Daphnia pulex: one gene and its partner. The protein of the gene in region 1 interacts with the protein of each later gene in a pairwise test. Links are inferred from orthologs where the notes say so. Each region holds a gene or a part of one and is shown on either strand. Other genes may lie near its edges.

Region 1 (3,354 bases):
TTTGTACCTCCTGTCCTGTCCGCACTAGGCGCGTTCTTCGTCTATCCCGGCGGGCGGCCAAAGAGCGGGCGGCGCGACGCTCACAGCATTTGTTGACTCAGCCGTCGTCTTTCAAGTGAATTACCATATCAATCTCTCGGCAACTTGTCTGAATACTTTTTTTTTTATGTTTTGTTTTTCGTCGTCCTCTGTCCCGAACGCACTCATCCGCTCTTCGATACTTGTGTTCTCCTATCAAATGCGGCAGACATCTAGGTCATAATTCAACATTTGACCTATTAAAGCGTAAACAAAATTCGCAAATCTGGAGTTGTTGCGTTACTTTGACATTCAAAAACATGAAACAGGGTAATGGATATTCGGACCTCATTTCATCACCAAAAATCTAGGCCAATTCCTCCTCCACCACTTCCCCTCTTGTGAGGATGAGTACTACACATCAGACAAAAATTGATTAGTTTAAATCGACTTCCATGAAAATCAGACTACAACTCTATTTCAAAACATTAGCAATCTGACTCCTACTGACACACCCAAACACATTTGTTTTCTTCATTTTGACCTTGTGCTTAGACATGTTTCTGTATCATCCTTTCATTCTGAATACGTAATCGGTATATCATTGAAATTTTTTAAAATACTTAATTGCAATAGTAGTTTAAATCCTAATAGAAACGTCAAAAGACCCTGGTACCAATGCCTGACTATTCCATCAGTTTTCTACTGTTAAATAAGCGACAACAAGTTTATGCTAAAGCAGAAAAAGAAAAACGATTCGATAAATCTGGGGGACTGTCATCAGCACCCTAACAAAGTGATGCTACTTTTGGAATAGTCAGATGTAAGCGGAACTTGGTATAAGGGTGCGGGGAGAGGGATTGGAGAGGGTATGGCACATGCTATTGATTACCTTCTAGTCTAGAGGAAACCGCTTCTGGCTGGCCGAGCATTACGGGGTACGGCAAATACAGCTACTATTTAACCTGAAATTTTTAAATACAGTTTTTTTTAAACATTAGACAATTAAAAATTTCTCGTTGAATATTCGAAAATATATCGGTACATTTCAGGTTTAAACTATGATATAACACTTTTTGTAATTAAAGAGGGCGTTGGAGAACAGATCCATCGCCGGACAAATCAGTTTTAGGGCGGAGCCTATGTATTGACAGAAAGTTCGTGTGTTTTGCCCTGAAAATTCTTCCATTTTTTAACCCAGTTTTGACATTTATTGAAGTTTTTCTCATTGCAAACCTCTACTTCTTGATATAAACTATGGCAGCTACTACTATAAGTGAACAATTGTCTCTCGACAAAGGTAAACGGCATTTACTTCTGAAGGCAACTAGCTGTCGTGGAACGCTCTTATTAATCCCTTAAAATTTATCTTCTAGATATAAACCGAGCTGTGGAATTGCTGGAGAAGTTGATGAAAAGTAAATCTTTAAAATATCAGTTATCAAGAGCACTAGGTCATAATAATTTCTAATCAAAACTAGGTGGAGAAGTTCCAACGGCAAAACTGTCTGCTCTTCACAAGGTGCTGCAGAGTGACTTTCTAAGAGCTGTCAGAGAAGTTTACGAACATGTTTATGAGACAGTAGAAATGGGAGGATCACCTGATGTCCGAGCTTCTGCCACAGCCAAAGCTACAATTGCAGCTTTTGCTGCTAGTGAAGGCCATGCCCATCCTCGAGTCGTAGAACTCCCCAAAACTGATGAAGGTCTTGGATTCAATGTCATGGGAGGTAACAAAATAAATACATTTTTATGCATATCCTTTCCTTGAGAATGCAATGGTGAAAATTAATTTTTATAATTACCAAATGAATGTTTGTAGGAAGGGAACAAAATTCACCAATTTACATATCAAGAATCATTCCTGGAGGTGTTGCAGACAGACATGGTGGTCTAAAGCGTGGTGACCAATTGCTCTCTGTTAATGGAGTGGTAAAATTGATAAACTTACTTCTTCCATTTAAGTTTTCTCTGACTGTTAATTTTTTTTTTAGTCGGTAGAGGGTGAAAATCACGAGAAAGCTGTGGAACTCCTGAAAGCTGCTCACGGTTCAGTGAAACTAGTTGTGCGTTACACACCAAAAATATTGGAAGAAATGGAAATGCGCTTTGATAAACAAAGGACCACGCGCCGAAGACAACCGTACTAAGTTCACTTTAACAAATCTCAATTAGGAGCATCATCGTCCCCATCGCAAATTTTGACTCCTCGTATTATCAATAGTGTAACCAATTCCCCATCCTGACTGTTACAAAAATATTCAATATTGTGTAGCTAAATATTTCATAGTTAAATTCTATGACAAAGACGGTTACACGTTATCACTCATGAATGTAGAGAAACCTTCATTCGTCCTTGCAATTGTTTTTTTGCTTATTTTGAACACAAGTTGCAAAATGGAAGAAATAGTAGCAACCTTTTCTTAAATGAAACCATTAACTAAGCTAAAACCTGATGTTAACTGATCTGTAGACTTATTTGTTGAAATGAATATAACTTCGGAATCAAACAATGCTGTTTTAGTAGTGATTAGCAAATTGTAATAACATTAGTTTCTCAAGCGGACGAAAATGGTAAGCCGGAACGAAATTAGAATTCAAGCAGATTGATTAGAAAAAAGTCATCCATTGCTGCTCAGGAACTCGGTGGACCTTGAGGCACGGCCATTTACTTCAATGAGGACAAACCAGCACGCATAATCTCATCTACCAAAAGCAGATTGCTAGCGATGACCGTGCTAAAAAAATAAAAATAAATAAATAAGTTGGTAACATCAACAATAATTTTGAAACTTACCAAGAATGGAGAATCTGTTTCTTAACACGATAGTTATCATAGATTCCTAAATCTGCTGGAATCATCGGCTCGCCCGATTGTAGATCAAGACCAATAAGGGGTCCACCTTCAACAAACTCTTGTTGCATTTTGACAATAGAGTCTTGAGGGTCAAATCCAGCGTTTTGTGCCAACACTTTCGGAATGACCAGCATGGCATCAGCATATGCTTGAACACCAAGACGGGCGCGACCCTTGACTTGCTCCTTGTATGCAACCAAGACCTTATGAGTTGCAATTTCAACAGCTCCAGCACCGGGAACGACGAAAGCTAGTATATCGATTATCAAATGATATTACCATCTTTTAAATGTGTTGATTCAAATTTTGACTTACTATCTTCTAGTGCGTTGACAACTGCACGAAGTCCATCCCTAATTGCATCCTTTGTCTGAGTTAAAGTATATTTGTTTGGGCCTTTGATCAGAATCGTAACACTCCTGGGGTTACGACAATCTTCAACAAATGTATACTTATCCTCGCCCTGTGAAAGAACCATC
Region 2 (3,927 bases), on another chromosome or scaffold:
GAGCGAGGAAGGTGTGGTGCATACTCAAAACATTCTAAATGAAAAAAAAAAATTAGCTTAGCTTTACCATAACGGAAGAATTAGACAGATACCTCGTAGGTAACGTGCTCTTCAACTTCAATATAACCAAATCCTCTGGGCTGATTGGTTTCCTTTTCCAGCGGAATCCGGACATTCTTGATAGGCCCACATTTGGCGAAATGACGGAGGATATCTTCTTTTGTAGTGTCGTATGACAAATTACCAATAAATAGGGTGTAGCCTTGAAATTTCTGTTTCTTTCTTTTGCCAGATTCTTCAGTAGCCTCAGCATCACCAGTTGTTTCACCTCCAACTACATTTTTCTTTTTTTTCTTTTTCGGAGGCTTTACAGGTGTTTCGGGTGAACCTTCAATTGGCTGAGAAGCAGAAGAATCTTGATGAGTGGATGGCTCATCACTTTTTTCATTCGTCTTAAATTTCTTTTTCTGAATAGGGCTATTTAAAATTTGATTATCTTCACCTTCTTCAGCATATTCTATTTGTTGTCTTGAATTGCGAGAATTATAGGTAGATTTTGCACCTCTACTGGAATCTGCTTTGAACCCGAAACTGTTTTGAAACCTTCCACGTTCTTGACCGCCATAGCCATCAAACGAGGATCCAGCACTTTCTGTGGTTGAAGCATTCGAGTTTTTGAATCCTCTAGCTTTCCACTCTGTAGCATTGTTTTGAGCGAATTTCTGCGCCTTGCTCATGTTGACCTTGAATATTTTTCGGTTTTACTGTTGCACAGACAGATGCAGGGATCTGGGAGAGTTAATATACGTATTATAAACAAGTGTAACAAAATACTATAAAAACCTTTATTTATTACCAGAATTGAGTTAAATTTGATTTGTTACCAAAAATTGTCAATACACTTTAAAAGAGAACGAAAATACGCGTGGTTGAGAAATGAAGTACTATCGATTATTGTGAATCGACTTTGAAGAGACCGCTGTCAAGTTTCTTTCATTTTATTTTTATATGTTTTTATCAACCAAATTTAGACGTAGTGCAATTTAAATATTTAAAAAATAAATAATGATATTGTTTGAAAATATTTCAAGAGAAAGTAAATTTTATTGCGTGAAAACGGCAAGCACAATTCAGCCATTGAGTTTTGGCCTGTCAATTCGGGGATTGAGAGGGGAGGGAAGCCTGAAGGATATTTTGACCGGATTTGTTTGTTTTTCCCCGTGTATTGATGGACCATTAAAGTAAATTTGCAATACATTGGATACAATTGTGCGTGAGCTTGTCGTTGTGAAAATGACGTCCCTCCCTAGTGAAGGTAAGCTGCAACATTTCTCCTTAGCTCTGCCTGTTTATAGCTCTTTGCACATAATTAACCTCATTTGCTTATAGATTTGTCGAGACTGCTGGCTACACTGCACCAGACTCGAGGCGGCGATGATTTCCAAGACATAAACTTCCTCAGCCAGGTTTTGACTTCCAAAGGAATGACAAACTTGCTTCGGGTGCACAAGAAAATCAGTGCTATAGTGGGCAAGCCCAACTCTGCCTCAGACACCAATGGTGGTCTGGAATACGAGCCAGAGATGATTGTTCCCATCGTCTCAAATGTGTTCAACATCTCTTGTGAAGTGATTGAAATCCTTCAGAGCTTTGTGCAGCGCAGTGGAAGCAGGGATTCCCGGGAGCTCATCTTGCTGCTCCAACGCCCAGCTTTCCAAGTATGTGCACTAAAACAAGTCTAGCTTTTGTATTTTGGTTTTTCAGTAAATTATTGCTATTTTTATTAAATATTTCAGAGTCTCCTGTTGGTCCATGATACCATATCTCAGAAAGATTATGTTCCCAAATTACCTGAACCTCCATTTGACACTGTTGATGAAGACGAAGAGACTATCAAGATTGTTCAGCTGGTCAAAAGCAATGAACCATTGGTAAATCTATTTCCCATTCATCTTCACTCTAGTTTAATTCAATTCCATAATGTTATGAACAATTATCTTTCCTAATGCTTATTCTGGAAAAGGCTCAAACTGCTGAGCCTATAGTGGTAAGTAGCATCTTTTCCGTGTCTGTAACTAGCGCAATCCTTCAATGCGACAGTCTTCAATTGATCGTGAAAGAAATGATTGGAAATTTTAAAAAATTTATTGAAATCGATTGTGGCAATATAGGGAGCGACGATCAAGACGGACGAGCGGACGGGGAAGATTGTCATCGCTCGTGTGATGCATGGCGGTGCTGCCGATCGGTCGGGATTAATCCATCCCGGTGACGAGGTCGTCGAGGTCAACGGCATCGATGTATTGGGCAAAACGCCCAACGATGTCCTCGAGATTCTCGTAAGTTATCGATCGATCCCCCATCAGTTTTTGGCTCGTGCGTTTTTCGATAACTTTTCAATTCCTTCCGATTCTCTTTTTCTGGCAGCAAAACGCCGAAGGAACCATCACATTCAAATTAATCCCGAGCGAAAGTCAAAGGCCGTCGAGGGAGAACCGCGTACGAGTTCGAGCGCTTTTTGATTTCACGGCTGCCCTCGATCGATACATTGTAAGTTTTGGGCATCGAATAAATCAATTATATTATCTTTGTGGCTTTGAATTGCCGCCGTGGTTGTTGCACAATCATTTTTTTTTGTCTTTGTCTGTATACTTCCGTGAAGCCGTGCAAGGAAGCCGGACTGGATTTCCGAAGAGGAGATATTATTCATATCGTTAGTCAGGACGATCCTTACTGGTAAAGGCTTTAACTTTGTTTTATCATATAGACAATTGACAAAATAAATCATTTGGTTGAATAGGTGGCAGGCGAGACATGAAGGCGATAAACAGATGCGTGCGGGATTAATTCCCAGCCGAATGTTGCAAGAGAAACGCATCGCTTACGAACGGGCCCACTCGGCTAATAATAACGCCGATCAGCAAGGTGAGTCTCTTTTATTCATTGCGATGGTTATCGATTTCTTTTTAAATGAAAATAGGACAAAAGTCTTATGAAAAAGATTTGGCCTGGTGCACGAAATAGTTAAGAGGATTGTGACCGTTTGCCAAACTTTTTGTGTGCCCATTTCGACCATTTGAATAGTTGTAGACCCACCCATAAAAGAAGGACCAGCCAGTTGTTTGATTATTGAATTCGACCGACCTCTTTTTCTCTTTTTACGTTTGCCATCATAACAGTTTTATTGATGTCGGCTCGCTCCCCCTTTGCTCTTCTCATCCAATAGAAATCAATACCTTTGATGTTTGGGATCCAAGAAAAATCGATAAATCTCCTTGTTTAACCAGAGATTTAGACGTTAGAGAGACTCTGTTTGTTTGATTTCGGTTTGCGGGTTGGCTGATGTTGACGCTTGATCGATTCTATTTGATTCTCATCCCTTTTGCTTATGATCCGTCTATTCTTTTGTCCGTGTGTTTATTTCGGTTATTTGGCTGATGCTTCCGTACCCTGTTTTGACCCCCTACCAAAAAATGAAAAATGAAAAATGAAACCAAAAGAAAAGGGTTGCAGTCCGGCCCGCTCGATGGGCTCCTTGAAAAGTGAAAGGAGCAGTCCCACTCAAAAAGTCATGTACGCTCTGGCAGAGAACGAAGATTTCGACCGGCAAGAGATTGTCACTTACGAGGAAGTGGCCCGTCTGATGCCGTACCCGGCCGTTCCCCGGCCCATCGTTCTCATCGGTCCCCCAGGTGTTGGCCGCAACGAACTGAAACGGCGTCTCATCGCCCTCGACCCCGACAAATTCCGCACAACAATTCCATGTGAGAACAAGACCAAAACATTTCGCTGTCGAAAAATAGTCGCGTCGACACTCTGGCTCAACTTTTGTTTGACATTTGTGACATGACATATAGATACTTCGCGGTTGCCGAAACCGGGCGAAGCCGACGGAGTCGATTATCATTTCCTCGACCGACAGCAGAT

The links.
Region 2: the proteins of protein lin-7 homolog C-like (region 1) and MAGUK p55 subfamily member 7-like interact in a two-hybrid assay, tested with the Drosophila melanogaster proteins (2 studies listed by BioGRID). The link is inferred for Daphnia pulex from reciprocal best matches to the Drosophila melanogaster genes veli and metro.

The regions. Positions count from the first base shown.
Region 1 is NC_060028.1:9,843,311-9,846,664, forward strand, and holds protein lin-7 homolog C-like, read left to right. Parts: upstream 1-1,126; 5' UTR 1,127-1,275; coding exon 1,276-1,318; intron 1,319-1,394; coding exon 1,395-1,436; intron 1,437-1,499; coding exon 1,500-1,748; intron 1,749-1,840; coding exon 1,841-1,950; intron 1,951-2,012; coding exon 2,013-2,168; 3' UTR 2,169-2,528; downstream 2,529-3,354. Other genes in the region: T-complex protein 1 subunit zeta-like, read right to left, coding at 2,687-2,756, 2,816-3,125, 3,191-3,338.
Region 2 is NC_060027.1:1,671,374-1,675,300, forward strand, and holds the start of MAGUK p55 subfamily member 7-like, read left to right. Parts: upstream 1-1,126; 5' UTR 1,127-1,293; coding exon 1,294-1,315; intron 1,316-1,389; coding exon 1,390-1,718; intron 1,719-1,796; coding exon 1,797-1,931; intron 1,932-2,023; coding exon 2,024-2,047; intron 2,048-2,171; coding exon 2,172-2,339; intron 2,340-2,427; coding exon 2,428-2,550; intron 2,551-2,662; coding exon 2,663-2,736; intron 2,737-2,800; coding exon 2,801-2,925; intron 2,926-3,500; coding exon 3,501-3,764; intron 3,765-3,857; coding exon 3,858-3,927. Other genes in the region: uncharacterized RNA-binding protein C365.04c-like, read right to left, coding at 1-34, 93-737.